3 linked regions of the Macaca mulatta genome follow. The protein of the gene in region 1 purifies or fractionates together with the protein of each later gene. This does not show direct contact. Links are inferred from orthologs where the notes say so. Each region holds a gene or a part of one and is shown in the gene's direction. Other genes may lie near its edges.

Region 1 (5,718 bases):
AGACAGAGGGAATAGAAAGTGTAAAAGCCCTCAACCAGAAGTATGCCTGGTATATTTGAGGGGGAACAGTGAGATTCCATGTGGCTGGGGTGGATTTAGCAAAGTAGCACATGGAGCCAAAGAGGTAGAGTATGGAGGGCCTAATTTTGCCTTTTCCTCTAAATGAGGTAGGGAATCATGGTGAGTTTTAAGCAGAAGTTGAATACACATGAGCTGACTTTAATAGGCTGCTGTTTTGATGAGAAATGTAGGAATCTGGTACAAAAGGGAGATGAGTTAGGAGGCTTTTAGAGATTCTTGATAATTAACTCATAGCAAGAAATGTTATAATTTGGACCAAGATGTTAACAGTGGTAGTGGTAGAAAACTCTCGTGAGCTAATTTTTGTATACTTTTTGTAAAGACACGGTTTCGCCATGTTGCTCAGGCTGGTCTCGAACTCCTGGGCTCAAGCTACCCGCCCATCTTGGCCTCTCAAAGTGCTGAGATTGCAAGCATGAGCTACCACCCCTGGCCTCCTAGGCTCATTTGATTGCTGAGTCTTCATTGCTTTAGTTCTCAACTCAATGTCACCTTGTCAGAGAGCTTGCCCTGCTAGACTGCTATATTCCTCTTTTATTTCCTTCATAGAACCTAACCAAAACCTAAAATAGTCTATTATATTTACTTATTTGAAAGTATAAAAATGTAAGCCTCTTACAGGCTGACATCTTGCTGATGTTACCACTGTATCTGTAGTACCCAAAATAATAATGTCTAGCACTAATTCAATACATATGAATGAAAAACCAAACTTAACTGGCCAATTCAATGTTTCTTGATTTTTTATACAGTAGATCTTCCTCTAATTGACAGCCTCATTCGGGTCTTACAAAATATGGAACAGTGTCAGAAAAAACCAGAGAACTCGGCAGAGTCTAACACAGGAGAAACTAAAAAGACTGATTTAACCCAAGATGATTTCCACTTGAAAATCTTAAAGGATATTTTATGTGAATTTCTTTCTAATATTTTTCAGGCATTAACAAAGGTAGGAAAGAAGTATTGATGATGTCATGAACAAAAGAAAGTGTGGGTTGCTTAACTCTCCAACTTTATTACTGTTTTTTTAATATGAAAGTAATATATATTTTGGGAAAATAAAGTAAAATCTTAATATCACCATGAGTTTATAATCTTAAAAACCGCTAGCTGATGTGGTTTGGTATATTTATGTATGACAAACATATGCATATGTTTGCATGCATGTATTTTTATAAATGCATTTTTCCTATACTTTAACCCAGCATATGCAATTTTTATAGACTACTGTTTTCCCTTAACACTATATTATAAGCATTTTTCTTGATTCTAGATGAAAGACTTTTTACTGAGAGCCAGTTTAAACCTAATTTACCAAATAATCAGTTTTCAAAATTTACTGCAAACTTCTCTTAAGGAATATTCTCCCTGAATATGTTCAGTGGTTATTAACATTCCTCCTTTGACCATATTTTTTTCTATCCATATATTTGGAAAGAAATATATTATGAATATGTTATGAATATGTTGTATCATGAATATAAAATGCTACAAATATAGGTGTGAAGAATATATTTATTCATACCCACTGAATTTTTTAAAGAGTATTCCTTAAGAAGTTTCTCTTGGCCAGGCGCCCATAATCCCAGCACTTGGGAGGCTGAGGCAGGTGGATCACTTGAGCCCAGGAGTTTGAGACCAGTTTGGGCAACATGGCAAAACCTCATCTCTACAAAAAATACAAAAATTAGCCGGGTATGGTGGCACATGCCTGTGATCCCAGCTACTTGGGAGGCAGGGATGGAAGGATTGCACTCCAACCTGAGTGACAAAGTGAGACCCTATCTCAAAAAACAAAATGAAACAAAAGGTTTCTCTTATTCTGGTGATTTTTTTTTTATTAGTTGTCTTGCTTCCCTTTTCCCTATTTGTATTTTCCAGATTTGGGGTTATTACCTCAGCAGGTTTTACAGAATTTAAATTACTGGATTCAACATTATAAATGTGAAGATGGCTAAGGCATAATGGCCATATTTTGTCAAAATACTATTTACATGTGAAATGTTGGTTTTTCCTTGACCCTTATTATTGGGTATTATAATTTTTATGTCAAAGTTCAGGTAATAAATTATGTCTTATTTTGATTTGCATTTTTAAATTAATGAGATTGAAATATTTGGATGTCGTATATTTTGTTTCCTACTTTTTTATAATTTATCCATTTTGATTATAAATTTATCCATTTATAATTTATCCATTTGATTTAATTGGATAATTTTTAATTATTGGATAATTAAATAATTATTAATTGGATAATTAATTGGATAATAATTTTTAATTATCCAATTAAAATTTATCCTTTTTTATAATTTATCCATTTGTATGAATTTCTTGGGTAATAATGCATCTTTTCCATATTTATCACATGTATTTTTTCCCATTCTTTGCTGTTGCTTTTGTTTTTTGGAGCACCTACTTTTAAGTAGTAGGAACATCAAAGAAAGGTGAGCTGAGGATACACTAGGGCTATGTCATGCAAATTTTTATATGCCATGTTTAGGGGATTTGGACTTAATCTTGAAGAAACTGAGGAGCTACTAAAGATTTTTTTTCTTTTAAGCACCAAGTGATAAGATCAATTTAGAAAGATTACTCCAAAAGCAATAGAGAGGAAGGAGTAGAGAGAGTTGAGGCTGGAGGGCAGGAGATCAACTAACAGGCTCTTGCGGTTGGTAATCTTCAAGAATAATCTGAAAAAGGATGGCAGCCTAAACAATGGAAGTTTGAATGGAGAGGAGGGATGGGATAAGAGAGATTTGGTAGAATAGAATTGAGCACTTGCCGGGAGGGGTCAGCAGGAGAGGGGAGGGAAAAGTCTTCACTGTGTTCCAAGTTTGTAGTTTGTGTAGCAGGGTGGATGGTGGTGTCCTTCACTAAAATAAAGACGACAGTGGAGAACACGTTTGGGTTACATAAGCCTCCTTGATGTCGGTGGGTTCAGTTGGGACATTTGAAATGCCTATGAAGTCAGGAGGGAATTGAATATCCTAATTTGTTTTTATTCACTAGTTAAAGCTTGAAAAAATTTCCCTTTTTTGACATTAAATGTTGTTGTTTTAGGAGACGGTGGCTCAGGGAGTAAAGGAAGGCCAATTGAGCAAACAGAAGTGTTCCTCTGCATTTCAAAACCTTCTTCCTTTCTATAGCCCTGTGGTGAGTATGGGTAAATGTATAGGCGGCCAAGTTTTGTAGGATTACTAAATGTTTTCAAGTAAGCACTTGATTTCGAAGTCATTGTCAAAAATTATAGTATATACAATTTATATGACTTAATGCCTTTGTCAGATAGATGACTGCTGGAAACAGAAAACCAAATACCATATGTTCTCACTTAGAAGTGGGAGCTAAAACCATTGGATACCATGGACATAAAAATGGGAAAAGTAGACACTGGGGACTACAGGAGGAGGGGGAAAAAGAGAGGGAGGGCAAGGGCTGAAAAACTACCTATTGGGTACTAAGCTCACTGCCTGGGTGACAGGTTCATCTGTGCCTCAAACTTCAGCATCATGTGATATACCTTTGTACCAAACCTGCACATAGAAACATTTAGATCCCCCTGAGTCTACAATAAAGGTTGGGGGAAAAAAGGATGACTACTGGAAAATTTGTACTACTATTGGGAGTAACAATTCTAAGAGGAAAAATTCAGCTCTGAATCTATAGTACTCCTTTCTGTTATGAAGTAGGTAGCATCTGTATTAAACCAAAATCAGATTCTTGGGAATAGGCAGTAGGTTTTTATGGTTCTTCAAATGACATCACATTTCCTACCATTAGAATCAGATTTCACAATAAGAACTTTTTCGGGAAAATGAAGGACAGAATGTGGGAACAGACTGTAAAGAGGAGGCAGGGGGAGAAGTACTAGCTTAAGGGTAAAACGGAATGGGAAAGAATAGTCATTTCCTTGAGAATGATTTAGAAGACTGCTTAGGAAGTACTGTTACTGTCATCTGGAGATCTGCCAGCATTTCTTTTCCATTGGACCATTTAGAAACCACAGGTAGAGCAATCAGTACCTTAAACCACGTTTTTCTCTTCTGTGTTTGATTTTGTTTGTTTGACTCATAGGTGGAAGATTTTATTAAAATCCTACGTGAAGTTGATAAGGTGCTTGCTGATGACTTGGAAAAAAGCTTCCCAAGTTTGAAGGTTCAGACTTAAAACCTGAATTGGAATTACTTCTGCATAAGAAATAAACTTTATTTTTCTCACTGACAGTTGAAATTGACTTATTGGAAATATTAGCTAAAGCCCTATTAGACCGTAATTGTCTGGTGTTATGTTTTTCTGTCCTAGACTTGTCTCACTTTTTTTGACTTTGGAATCTGGAGTTTCACCCCTGTCACCCCTCTTTTTATATTATGTGATATTTATCATTCTCAGTTGAGGAAAACAAAAATGTAAGCTTATCATTGAGGTTCTTAGGATATGTGAGAGATCAGTGTCGCTTTTCTTCCTAGCTGTTAATTTGGTTTTTGTTTTGTTTTGTTTTGTTTTTTGAGATGGAGTCTCACTCTGTTGCTCAGGCTAGAGTGCAGTGGTGTGATCTCGACTCACTGCAAGCTCCACCTCCTGGGTTCACGCCATTTTCCTGCCTCAGTCTCCCGAGTAACTGGGACCACAGGTGCCCGCCACCACACCCGGCTAATTTTTTGTATTTTTAGTAGAGACGGAGTTTCACCATGTTAGCCAGGATAGTCTCTATCTCCTGACCTTGTGATCTGCCCACCTTGGCCTCCCAAAGTGCTGGGATTACAGGCATGAGCCACCGTGCCCGGCCTAATTAGATTTTTTTAAGTGAGAATTACGTCTTTGTATCAACTATAAGTATATTCAGCCGCAGTAACAGAAACCCTCCTATCGTAGCTGAATCTGATCTCTCTCAGGAACCTTATGCAAAAATCCAGACGTGATGAGGTGGCTCCTTTCACCCTTCACATGGTCTGCCAGGTGTGTTCATGTTTATTGTCTTGCGGTTAAGGGGGCTGTGCCATCTCTGGGCCTTATCCACATTCAGGAAGGAAAAGGGAGAGAAGGGGCTTTTTCCTACCAAGTCTTTACGTGTGTTTGGCTGGGTGAGGAGGTGCTTTTTAATAGATTTTAAGAAAATATCTGTTATGAATAGCAAAGCCAGCTTTCTAAACCTCACTTTTGGTATAGCCTCTTCCCAGTTTTTATCAGTTTTTTGGCTTTAAAGCATTGGTCTTGCCTCATACTTTGTTTTCTTTCCTTGAGAGGTTTTTGGTGATAAAACATAGAATAATCTTATTGGTAAGAGATAATACAATTTCTAGTTTGGAGGTAGGTTTAGGGTTGGAAGTGTCACTGCTGAAAAGAACTGGAACATAAAAGTAAATCTTAGCAGGTGAAACCTCATTGGTAGGTTTATGTATACTACACTGTATATGCATATTTGCATGTCCTCGGTGCTGACCTTATTGGTAGGCTGAATTGACTATGTTCAACATGAGATTTGAAAGACACTGATGAAATCACTCCTACCTGCTAGCTGACATGAAAATTCCACTCGGTTTTTTTTTTTTAAGTTTAAGCTTAAGATGCAAATACCGATTAAGAGTAATACTTGAGGTTATTAGTTATGTTTACCTCAGTGCATATGAATTTCACATT
Region 2 (6,215 bases), on another chromosome or scaffold:
ATTCCTCTGTTTTCTGTTTCTCTTCAGATTACTACCATCTAACCATCTAACTCAGGAGTTAGCAATCTGTTGCTTGTGGGCCAAATACAGCTTCCCACCTGTTTTTATAAATAAAGTTTTATTGGAACACAGCCACACTCCATTTATATGTATGTGTATGGCTGCTTTTGACCACAATAGCAGAGTTCAGTTGTTTCAACAGAGATTGTATGACCCACAAAGCCTAAAACATTTACTCTCTGGTCCTTTATAGAAAAAATTTGTCAACTTCTGGTCTAACCGGTCATGGCCCTTCCCAGTGCAATTCTCAAAATACAGGATGATTAATCTTCCTAAGCCAGATCTCTCTCCTACACTGTAAATGCCCAATCTTGGTTAACTCATACCTTCTCTTGTATATTTGCAAAGGTCTTCCAAAAGCGGCCATGATCACTCATCAGCGCATATGGTATGGAACTGGCCTCACTTTTGTAAGCGGATTGAAGGCAGATGATGTCATCTATATCACTCTGCCCTTGTACCACAGTGCTGCACTATTGATTGGCTTTCATGGATGTATTGTGGCTGGTAAGTTTTTCCTACAAAGTGTTGGAGGCGAGTGCACATTTACATTTTCTCACAAGGAACAGTAATATAAAATTTGGCTATGTTGCTGTCTGCTTGGAACAGTCTTCAATTTTGCTTTAACAATAAGGCTATTTGACTCATATTACAAGCAAGCATCTAAAATAATCTGTTTTTTCATGCCTGCTTATCTAATAATATAATGCTATAATTGTTCAGTATATCAAGAGAGAAACTCCTTTAAAATATTTTAGAGCTGGGTGCAATGGTTCACACCTGTATTCCCAGCACTTTGGGAGACCAAGGCAGGAGGATTGCTTGAGGCCAGGAGTTCAAGACCAGCCTGGGCAACAGAGCAAACCTCATCTCTACAAAAAAAAAAAAAAAAAATAGCCAGGCATGGTGGCTCAAGTCTGTAGTCCCAGCTACCCAGGAGGCTGAAGTAAGAGAATTGCTTGAGTCCAAGAGTTCAAGATTGCAGTGAGCTGTGATTGCACCACTGCACTCCAAGCTGGTTGACAGAGTGAGACCTCAACTGTGAAAAATAAAATAAAAATTAAAATAAAAAATTATCTGTATCTAGGTTATGACACTTGAATCTTAGATTCTATGTCATGTCATTTCCATCTTTAGAAACTTACATGTTGATCTCCATCAGCATCTGATTTAAACTTCTTCAGTTGTGTGCACTCTTCTGCAGCCTCCCCTGTTTCCACAGCTTTTCAGCTCTACTAGAAGGAGAGAAGATGGCAACTCCATCAGAATACTTGGCTTGGCTTGCCATCTCTTCTCTTTCCTTCTCAGACTTTACTATTCAAATTGGAGTTGCCATCCTCTCTCCTTCCAGGAGGATTTATGTCACTTGTATACATTACTGCAAAGTTCAATAGCCACCTCTTCCAGGAAGCTATCTGTAACTTTCTGACTGAACTAAAAAGCAACCTTTTCTCCCATGTGGCATTTCATTTTAAATAATCATATATGTATATATAAAAATATATACACATATGTATATACACACACATATATGTGTGTGTATATGCATGCATGTCATGGATGGATATTTGTGTCCCCCAAAAGTGTATGTGTTGAAATCCTAACCCCCAATGTGATGGTATTAGCTGGTAGGGTCTTTGGGAGGTAATTGGGTCATGAGAGAAGCACCTTCATGAAAGGTAGTGCCCTTATCAGAAGAGACAGGAGAGAGCTTCTTTCCTGACTCCGTTCTCCTCCATGTAAGGACACAGGGAGATGATGACCGTCCCCAAACCAGGAAAAATGCCCTCACCAGACACCCGATCTGCCAACACCTTGATAGGGACTTCCCAGCCTCCAGAACTGCAAGAGATATATGTTGTTTAAGCCACCCAGTCTGTACTATATTGTTATAGCAGCTCAAACACACACACACACACACACACACACACACACACACTCCAAAAATTTGAAATCCAAAATGCTCCAAAATCTGAAACTTTTTGAGCACCAGGACACCACAAGTGGAAAATACTACAGATAAGTACTTAACACAAACTTTATTTTATGCACAAAATTATTTAAAATATTGCATGAACGAGCCAGGCACAGTGGCTCCTGCCCGTAATCCCAGCACTTTGGGAGGTTGAGGCAGGCGAATCACTTGAGGTCAGGAGTTTGAGACCAGCCTGGTCAACATGGCAAAACCCCATCACTTCTTAAAAAATACAAAAATTAGCCAGGCATGATGGTGCCCGCCTATAATCCCAGCTACTTAGAGACTGAGGCACAAGAACCCACAAGGCGGAGGTTGCAGTGAGCCAAGATTGCACCACTGCACTCCAGCCGGGGCAACAGAGCGAGACTCGGGCCAGGTGCAGTGGCTCACGCCTGTAATCCCAGCACTTTGGGAGGCCGAGGGGGACAGATCACAAGGTCAGGAGATTGAGACCATCTGGCTAACACAGGGAAACCCCATCTCTACTAAAAATACAAAAAATTTGCCAGGCGTGGTGGCACACAGCTGTAATCTCACCTACTCAGGAGGCTGAGGCAAGAGAATCACTTGAACCCAGGAGGCGGATGTTGCAGTGAGTCAAGATGGCACCACTGCACTCCAGCCTGGGTGACAGAGCGAGACTCAGTCTCAAAAAAAGAAAAAAAAAAATAGAACGAGACTCTGTCTCAAATACACACACACACACACACACACACACACACGTATGTGTGTGTATATGTGTATTTTTGAGACAGTCTCACTCTCTATATATATTTATATAGCATGAAATATTTATATTTATTTATATATATATATATATATGTTTTGCATGAAATCTCTCCCCTCTCCCCTCCCTCCCTCTTAGGACCTCATTTGAATCTCTTACTGCAAGCTGACTTTTATTAAAATGACCTTTGTATAAGTCTTCTCCTCCATAGATTGGAAGCCCCTATCAAACAAAACCATGTCTTACTAATTTTTTGCATTGAATATAAGGTACTCAATACTTGTTTGCAAATATAATTTACTTTTAAATTTCTGTCTTTCAAAGTTCACAAATTAAATATAATTGGGAGAATTTTTTCTACCATTTCTTTCTTCACACTTTCGTTTTGTTTGTTTGTTTTTTTTTGAGACGGAGTCTTGCTCTGTGCCCCAGGCTGGAGTGCGGTGGCACAATCTCGGCTCACTGCAAGCTCCGCCCCCCGGGTTCACACCATTCTCCTGCCTCAGCCTCCCGAGTAGCTGGGATTACAGGCGCCCGCCACCATGCTTGGCTAATTTTTTTGTATTTTTAGAAGAGAGGGGTTTCACCGTGTTAGCCAGGATGGTCTCGATCTCCTGACCTTGTGATCCGCCCGCCTCGGCCTCCCAAAGTGCTGGGATTACAGGCTTGAGCCACCACGCCCGGCCTCTTTCTTGACACTTTCTATGCTTTCTCTGTAGGTGCTACTCTTGCCTTGCGGACTAAATTTTCAGCCAGCCAGTTTTGGGATGACTGCAGAAAATACAACGTCACTGTCATTCAGTATATCGGTGAACTGCTTCGGTATTTATGCAACACACCACAGGTAACACTACCCTGGTTGTACTATCATTTTGAAATGGGTAAGATGGAAATTCAAGTCACTTTGGGTTGTGCTAGGCTTTAGCTGATTTGCATATATCAGTTTTGAGTTTAGTATACAATTATCAGGATAAAGTACTTGGCACTATACCTACCATATAGAGGGGACTTATTAGGTGGGAGTTCATATTATCATGATGATGATTATTATTTCCTGACTTTTTACTTGTTTTCACATCTTACCCCCCACCTAGCATATCATGCATTTCCCTCTCTGCTTACTAAAAGCCATTGTCAAAGCCCAGTTCAAATGATACCTCATACATTAAACCTATTTGGGTCACTCCAACAAAAGTCATTACTCTTCTCCCCTACGTCATTTTATTTCTACCCTCTGTGGCCCTTGTCACATTGCAGGAGTTTGCGTTCATGCCTCCCATCCTTCCTTGGCTATAATATCTTTGATAGCTGGAACCACATCTTGTCTCCTTGTTTTCTGTTATACCAAAACCATACAGGAAACTTTTACTTAATATTGTTTAATAAATAAATCCCTGCGTGACTTTGAAACCAACCAGCCAAGTCTGTCACCAAGCTGGGAACAGAGGCCCCAGGGCATCTCCAACGGCCTTGGATCTGCCTGGTTTGCAGATGTTCAGCTCTCGATGGGGTTGTTCTCAAGAGCTCCTCCTGCCCAGTCCCTCAACTCTCATCACAGATCTGGTATCAGATAGGATTTATCAACAGTGGCACTGCTGACACTTTGGGCTTTTAATTCTTTGCTGCATGGACTTATTCCGTGCATTGTAGAGTGTTTAGCACCCTTTGAACTTTGCCCACGAGATGCCAGTAGTAACCTCCCCACCTGCCCAGGTTGTGATCATCAAAATGTCTCCAGATACTGCCAAATATCCCTTGGCAGGCAAATGCTACCCTAGTTGAGAACCACTGGGCAAGACAATGCAGTAAACTTGCCAGATTCTAATCCGTTTCACCAGATTCTAGTTCCTTTAATCTACTCAGTCAACTTAACCTCAAAGGATCACTAAGTTGATAAATTGCTATTGATAAACACCTGTCGTGCTCACCTTACATACCAGCCGCTATGTGACGCAGAAAGAAGTGTCGGATGCTCTTCCCCCAGGTCTCTCTCACCTCGCTTTACTCAGTATCTGCCCAGATGTTACCTCATTAGGAGAGAGGCCTCTCCTGCTAATAATCAAACATATCACCTGCCCCTCACTGTCCAGCTTGTCACTGCATTTCATGGCACCTGTCACTCCTGACATACTAAAGGTTTATGCGATTATTGTCTGGCCCCCCCGCCCAATTAAATGAAAGTTGCATATGAGCAGGGGCTCTGTCCACTACCAGATCCACAGCACCGAGATCTGTAAATGACACATCATAGGCATCAACAGATTTTGCGGACCGAACCTCTTAAATCCTTGACCCTGAAAAACATATAGTTGAGTTGAGGGAGCTAAAATGTTTCCCCCAAAATGTTTGGGCTTAGCACATATTATTCTGATTTTTTGGCATATTCAATAGATTCTTGAGGATCATCATTAGCAGTGAGTTGGGTTAGGGCGTTTTCCGCAGCAGTTTCTGTTAATGTCATTATTGAATTTTTTTCTCATTAATATTCCACGTGGCCCTCAAGATAGCATGTCTCTCCATTAACATCCAGAAATCCATATGGGGCCCTTCTGCTGGGCTTTTCTTCTCTACCTTAAAGACACTCCCTTGTCAGTTAGAAATCTCCTGGGGAGTGTGTGTTGTTTCTATACATTCTAACGGGAGCTTCCTTTCAACTGGAGGAAAATAAGTATGTTTGTGTGTAGCTGTCTTAAGGCTTACACATATCCACATACACACATGCACACATACACACACACATGCATGCACTCTCCCAGTTTTTCTCTTACTGTTGTCTCGAATACTGGAAAACAAAGACAATTTGATTGGGGTTTTATGACTTCAAAATATACTATGATTTAATGCATAATCTTGAATGACCCCTGGACTTCCTATTTGCCAGTGCTTCCCCACCCCTGAGTTCTGTTTGTCTGGAAAATACTTATAGAAAGTATAATAAAAGATCAAAGTTATCTCAACAAAAAAAAAAAAAAAAAAACTTCAGTTAAAGATTTTTTTTTGATCACAGGTCATCAGTCCAGGCACGATGGCTCACGCCTCTAATCCCAACACTTTGGGAGGCCGAGGCGGGCAGATCATTCAAGGTCAGGAGTTAAAGACCAGCCTGGCCAACATGGAGAAACCCAGTCTCTACTAAAAATACAAAAATTAGCGGGGTTTGTTGGCACGCGCCTGTAATCCCAACTGCTCGGGAGGCTGAAGCAAGAGAGTCGCTTGAAGCGGGAGGCAGATGTTGCCGTGAGCCAAGATTGTGCCACTGCACTCCAGCCTGGGTGACAGAACAAGACCCTATCTCAAAAAAAAAAAAAAAAAAAAAAGGAAAAGAAAACAGAAAGGAAACAATCATAGGTCATTAGACAAGCAGGAGATCTATGCAAAATTTTTTTAAAAAATTTAATCATGGGTCATCATAGGAAGTAGGAAGTCCAGATTCTGTGGGGTATGGGAAAG
Region 3 (6,215 bases), on another chromosome or scaffold:
TGGATAGGGCCCATGGCTTAGGTAATGCCCCAGAAAGGAAGGCCTTGCAGTGCAGATGCTCAGGTGGCCTCCTCACTCCCGGGGCCTCCTGCTGCTTAGCATCCCAAAGCCCTGTCTTCCCCCAGCCCGGACCCCACCCCCACACAAGGTCTGGGGTCTCTGTCAAGTGGAAGAAAAGGCCCAGAGCCAGGCAGACAGCTCAGGGCAAAAATCAGGATGCCCCAATTCCAGTCCCAGGGGCAGGAGAGTACAGCTGCCCCAGCAGGCACACTGCAGATGGCCCTGGCGCTGCCTCCCACCTGCTACAGGACCTTGAGCTGGTGCTGATCTCTCAGCCTGTTTCCTCATTCGTGAAGGGGAAAATGTTTAAGTACTATTAGTAATAGTCACATCATCCCTAACTGGTTTGGTTGTTGAGGATTATTCATTCATTCAGAAAGTTTTCATTGAACACCAGGTACTTCACAGACATGCTCCCTGCTCTTGGAAATGTAGCGTTTAGTTAACTGCTTGAGGTGAGACCTTGGGCACATGACTTATGTGCCCTCTCAGAGCCTCAGTTTTCTCGTCTATAAATTGGAGGTAAGTATTCCTACCTCACTGAGTGAATCTGAGAATTAAATAATACTTGTAAAACACTTAGGACAGTATCAGATAAGGATCAGTGTGACCTGTTTTTGTTACGGACTCTGAGAGAGGGCCCGATTCAGATTAGAGGGTCAAGGAAAGCCCTCTGAAGAAATGGGGTTCGAGCAAAGCTGGAAGACTATGTAGGAAGCTGGCCAGGCATGACTGCAGGCAATCGCTGTAGGCAGAGCAAACCCATGCACAGATACACAGAGGGGAGAGGACGCTCGACCTGAACTGGGAACAGCAGCCAGCGGGGTCAGGGCACCAGCAGCAGGGTTGGTGTTGGGGGGATGTGGCAGGGCTCTGGCAGGTGGCTGTGTGGAGAACACGGAGTGGGGTGATAGAAGCAGGGCCAGTAAGGCTCCTGCAGGCAGATGGTGGCGAGAGACTCGGGAATATGTGACCTGGACTGGATGAGGTGATGGGGGAGGAGCAGGCCATGTCTTTTCCCCTAGATGTGAGTGGGTGGGTGGGTGTGCCATGTGCTGAGATGGAGAAGGCACCAGTGTCAGTGCTGGACAGGCCGAGATGTCAAGTGGAAATGTCGAGGAGGTGGTGGGAGCCACAGGTTTGTGAGGCCCAGGAGAGGGCCAGAGCTCCAGCTTTAAATTGGAGGGTCACAGCGTATGGAGGCCAAGGAAGCAGATGGGATGTTCGGGGGGAAAGTATGGACTGAAGCAGCTAAAGAACTGCAGCGTCTTAACAGACAGGAAGAGGGACAGCGACAGCGATGGAGCCTGAGAAGGCGGGTGCGGTGTCCCAGGCCATCTGCAGAGGGTCCACGATTAAACAGATCACACACATAGCACGGAGCATGCTGCCCAGCAGGCACACTCAGACCTGCTCAGGGGTGGTGGGGAGGGTCCTGCTCATTCCAGGTGAGACTGTGGGCTGAGGGCTCCAGGTGCTGGCAGCCTCTGAGCTGAGGAGGGCCAGTACCTTCCAGAGATCTCATGCCTTGCCCTGTGCTCTGCCAGATGGGCAGAATGACTTACCCCTATAGGAGGCTTGCCCCACCTCCCTCTGGCCTGTTCGGAAATGGCCAACAGCTCCCGAGTTGGTCCAGCCCCCTCAGCACCTGCCCTGCCGACTGGGTACACCGCTGGCCCTCAGCATCCTGACCTGCCCCACCTTGTCCTGCAGGAGGTGTTTCATAGAGAACTAAGGAGCAACTCCATGAAGACCTGGGGCCTGCGGGCAGCTGGCTGGATGGCCATGTTCATGGGCCTCAACCTTATGACACGCATCCTCTACACCCTGGGTAGGTGTCAGGGTGGGTCACTGCCCTCCCTCCTGCACCCCCACTGGCCTCTGCCTGTCGCATCATCTCAGCCCTTCCGGCCTGATGGGATGGCCCCTGCACAGAGACCAAGCATTTGGCTCATCTCTGTATCTCCGCTCCATAGCCTTGGGATGAGGGAGCAGAGGAAGGCAGGCTGAGGGCAGGAGCTGCCAGGGGTGAGGCTGGGTGGGGCTGACTCTGGGGCACTGGTCTCACTCCACAGCCTGAAGGTTCGTCCATCCCCTGGCTCGCTCATTTGCTCATTCCTTTGATCCACAATTGATACCACATGGGAGCCTGTCAGACCTGCATTTGAAATCTGTCACGTCCAAGCTCTGGGTGCTTGGCCATTCCCTTCCCACCTCAGCTTCAGTCACCTCACCCCTCACATGCAGAGTTTTATGAATGTGGCAAATAGGAAACACCCAAAACTATCATGCTTCCTTCCTCACTCTAAAACCTGGGCTAGATTTGGGCAGCCAGCAAGTCCGGAGCATGAAGGAGAGTTCTGGGCCGCTCCTTGGCCTGAGGTTGGCACCAGCGAGCTCAGTAGGAGTCCTGTGGCCCAGTGTGGTTCGGGATCTGAGTGCCCAGGGTGACTAAGTACGTTCTGGGCCCAGGAGGATGGGGTTCCTCAGAGGACTCTCCATCCAAGCCTTTCCCTGGTGTGTATCCCTTCCAGTCACATGTTTGGGTCACGCCTTTTCTGGGTGCCAACAGAAACCTCTTCCCCACTCAGGATGTACAAGTCAGAAGAGGTCTGGCTGCACATCTCGGGCTGTCTGAGCCGGGGGGACCACCTCCTTTGTTTATAGTTGGGAAAACAGGCTCGGGAAGGGAAGGACTCTTTCCTTGAGCCTTTCTTTGGACAGCTGAATTGTGCTCAGAAAGACTAGTGACATGGTGGGCACATTAGGGAGACATCAGCATTTAAGCGGAATCCTCTTTCTTGCCTATGTGACCTTGGGCAGACCAGTTCCCTTCTGGAGCCTTGGTTTCCTCGTGTCTGTCTCAGTGGGCCCTTCTTTGGATCTCTGACGTCTGTGATCCCAATTCACCCTATGTCTGGAATGAGCCAGACTCAGGACAGACTTAGAGCATGGAGGGACCCCCAGGGTGGGTGGGGTGAGTCGCTAGTGCAGCAGGGAAGCGCACACTCCCCCATGCGTTTGATAAATACTGACCGCCACGTGTAAGACTCCACAGCAAGAGAGACAGACAAGGATTAGAGCAGCGGCTCAGAGCCCAGGCTCTGGGCCCAGACAGTCTTGAGTTCAAATCCTGGTTCTGGCACTTTCTAACAGGAGGACTTGGGGTGAGTTTCTTAATTCCCTGAGCCTCAGTGACCCCGTGGGCAAAATGGAGTTAAGAAGAGTACCTACCTTACGGGGTGGGCATGAGCGCTTCATGAGATGGTGCGCGTGGTGTCTAACACATAGGCAACATTCAGAAACATGAACTTTGCTTATTATAAGGGCTGAGTAGCAGTGCTGTATGGGAACAGACCAGGATGAGGCCAGGTGGTGGCTTGCAGGGTGTGCTGCAGGTATGGTGGGCACCAGGGCTTGCTCTGCAAACCCAGTGATTCCAGACCACTGGTGGCCCGGGAACTGAGCAAAGATTCCCTGAGTGGACATCAGCTATGGAATGCCAACCTGGAGAGGTCATACAAGGCAAGAATAGGGTAATTACGAATTTAGCTGGATTCTGGGCTTTCTCCTATTGGACCAATAGTTTGTGAGATCCTTGAGGAGAGGCCAATGCTTAGGCTAATTTATTTCCTCTAGTACCTGCCGGTTCAGTGCTGGGCACATAAATAATCAGTAACATCCTGCTGCATGAATGAACCAACACCTCTAGGAATGGCTGAGAGGCCCAAATAGGCACAGGAGGCTCCATCCACAGCCTCTTGTATGAGTGTGCAGGACCCAGGGTATTTCCAGCATTACAGGCAAATGTCTTTATGCTGGCCTCAGACTGCTCTCCACATATAGTATTAAAGTTTACAAAGCACTGCCACATCCTCTCCCCGGAGCAGGGTAGAGTGGGTGGCTCAATGTGCCCAGCCACGCAGCTCATAGCAGAGACTCCTGTGCTCCCTTAGCTCTCAGAACGAGGCTCCTTGCCTTCCACCCCACTGACCCGCTCCCCTCCTCACGCACGTAGCAACAGGGGCCCATCCTCACCTAGGGACAGGAGCGATCTGCTGAGCTGGTGAGGTGTAGAGTGGGTGGCACCTCATCACCTTTCTCCTTTCCACAGTGGACTGGTTTCCTGTCTTTCGAGACTTGGTCAACATTGGCCTGAAAGCCTTTGCCTTCTGCATGGCCACCTCGCTGACCCTGTTGACCGTGGCGGCTGGCTGGCTCTTCTACCGGCCCCTATGGGCCCTCCTCATTGCCGGCCTGGCGCTGGTGCCCATCATTGTTGCTCGGACACGGGTGTCGGCCAAAAAGTTGGAGTGAAAAGACCCTGGCACCCGCCCGACACCTGCGTGAGCCCTAGGATCCAGGTCGTCCCTCACCTCTGACCCAGCTCCATGCCAGAGCAGGAGCTCCGGTTGGTTTTGGACTCTGCACCCTCTCTCCTCTTCAGGGGCCAGACTTGGCAGCATGTGCGCTGGGTTGGTGTTCACCAGCTCATGTCTTCCCCACACCTCTTCTTGCCAGTAAGCAGCTTTGGTGGGCAGCAGCAGCTCATGAATGGCCACCTGACAGCTTCTCCTGCTGTTTCCTTCCTCTCTCTTGGACTGAGTGCGTATGGCCAGCCACTCAGCCCACTGGCAGCTGACGACGCAGACACGCTCTAAGGAGGCCTGCTGATAAAGGGCTCAGCCTTGCCGTGTGCTGCTTCTCATCACTGCACACAAGTGCCAGGCTTTGCCGCCACCACCAAGCACTTCTGTGATCCTGAAGGGCGGCCGTTAGTCATTACTGCTGAGTCCTGGGTCACCAGCAGACACACTGGGCATGGACCCCACAAAGCAGGTACACCCAAAACATAGTCTGTGGCTGGAACCTGGTTTGGTGTTTAAAAGAGAAGAAACACTGAAGATGTCGTGAGGAGAAAAGCTGGACGTACGTTGGGCTTCACACTTATCTTATGGCTTGGTAGAATCTTTGTAGTGTGTGGGATATCTGAAGGTCCTATTTGAGGTTTTCTTCATTACTTTGCTGCTTTGTATGTACTTTCCTACCCTAAGAGGAAGTTTTCTGAAATAAGATTTTAAAACAACAAAAAAAACACTTGAATGATTAATATTTCAGACTGTTCCAGGAAACACCCTTCAGTCTGTCAGTTGAATTCAGAGCACCGAAAGGTGTTAAATTGGGTATGTGGTTTGACTGATAAAAAATTACCTTTCAGTATTCTGTGTCACTGAGAAGCTTTACAACGGATGCTTTTGAAACAAGTATTAGCGAAAGGATTTGTTTTCACTCTGGGAGGAGAGGGTGGAGAAAGCAGCTGCTTTCATCCTCTGGCATCAGGAACTCCCCTGTGCACTTGAAGATGGTTTAAAAGATTAAAGAAAAGATTAAGAGAAAAGGTTGGAAGCTTTATACTAAATGGGCACCTTCATGGTGACCCCCAGTCAACCACAATCAAGAACTGAGGCCTGAGGCTTGCTGTACAGTGCCCATGCCTGCCTGGCTGCTTTCACCCGGGAGTACTTTCGACATGGGCACCTGGGCCTCCTATGGCTGCTTCTGAGTAGTCCTTTCATGTGTTGTGTCCATAGCTTTAGTCCTCCTAAATAAGATCCACCCACACCTAAGTCACAGAATTTCTGAGTTCCCCAACTACTCTCGCACCATTAAAAGTATGTTGTAACCAAGATGCCTTAAATGATTCTTTGTATACCCTTTCTGTCATATTCAGAAACCGTTTTGTGCCTGCTGGAAGTAATTCCTTTAGCAACTAAGTATTTGGTAGCTGAATAAGGGGGTCAGAACTTCTGAAACCAGTGATCTGTAACCATCTCTACTGGCCTCGGGTGCCTGTGCTATAAATGAGTTTCTTCACATGAAAAACACAGCCAGCCCAAGATGACTTATCTGGGTTTAGGATACAGTAGTATTCACTAACTGCTTATTACGTGAGCAATATTACGTGAACAATTTCATCCAATCTCCAAACTCTTAAAGGATGCTTTTGGAAAACACGCAGTATACCTAGATGATGACTAAATGCAAAATCCTTGGGCTTTGGTTTAATTTTTTTCTAATAAGGATTTTAAATTACTGCCAACTTCAAAAGTGTTCTTAAAGAGAAAAATAATGTTAAGAAAAATTTGAAAGCTTTG

The links. The genes of interacting proteins can lie anywhere in the genome.
Region 2: the proteins of SAAL1 (region 1) and SLC27A2 purify together in Homo sapiens (co-immunoprecipitation; 3 studies listed by BioGRID and IntAct, with this or other methods). This does not show direct contact. The link is inferred for Macaca mulatta from reciprocal best matches to the Homo sapiens genes SAAL1 and SLC27A2.
Region 3: the proteins of SAAL1 (region 1) and TMEM43 purify together in Homo sapiens (affinity purification with mass spectrometry; 3 studies listed by BioGRID and IntAct, with this or other methods). This does not show direct contact. The link is inferred for Macaca mulatta from reciprocal best matches to the Homo sapiens genes SAAL1 and TMEM43.

What each region holds. Positions count from the first base shown.
Region 1 is NC_133419.1:47,373,763-47,379,480, forward strand, and holds the end of SAAL1 (protein SAAL1), read left to right. Parts: intron 1-833; coding exon 834-1,030; intron 1,031-3,141; coding exon 3,142-3,234; intron 3,235-4,155; coding exon 4,156-4,248; 3' UTR 4,249-4,304; downstream 4,305-5,718. UniProt on the Homo sapiens protein: Plays a role in promoting the proliferation of synovial fibroblasts in response to pro-inflammatory stimuli.
Region 2 is NC_133412.1:27,533,040-27,539,254, forward strand, and holds part of SLC27A2 (long-chain fatty acid transport protein 2), read left to right. Parts: intron 1-408; coding exon 409-567; intron 568-3,484; coding exon 3,485-3,609; intron 3,610-6,215. UniProt on the Homo sapiens protein: Mediates the import of long-chain fatty acids (LCFA) into the cell by facilitating their transport across cell membranes, playing an important role in hepatic fatty acid uptake.
Region 3 is NC_133407.1:152,940,439-152,946,653, forward strand, and holds part of TMEM43 (transmembrane protein 43), read left to right. Parts: intron 1-1,773; coding exon 1,774-1,947; coding exon of another isoform or gene 1,948-1,970; intron 1,971-4,137; coding exon 4,138-4,377; 3' UTR 4,378-6,215. UniProt on the Homo sapiens protein: May have an important role in maintaining nuclear envelope structure by organizing protein complexes at the inner nuclear membrane. Required for retaining emerin at the inner nuclear membrane.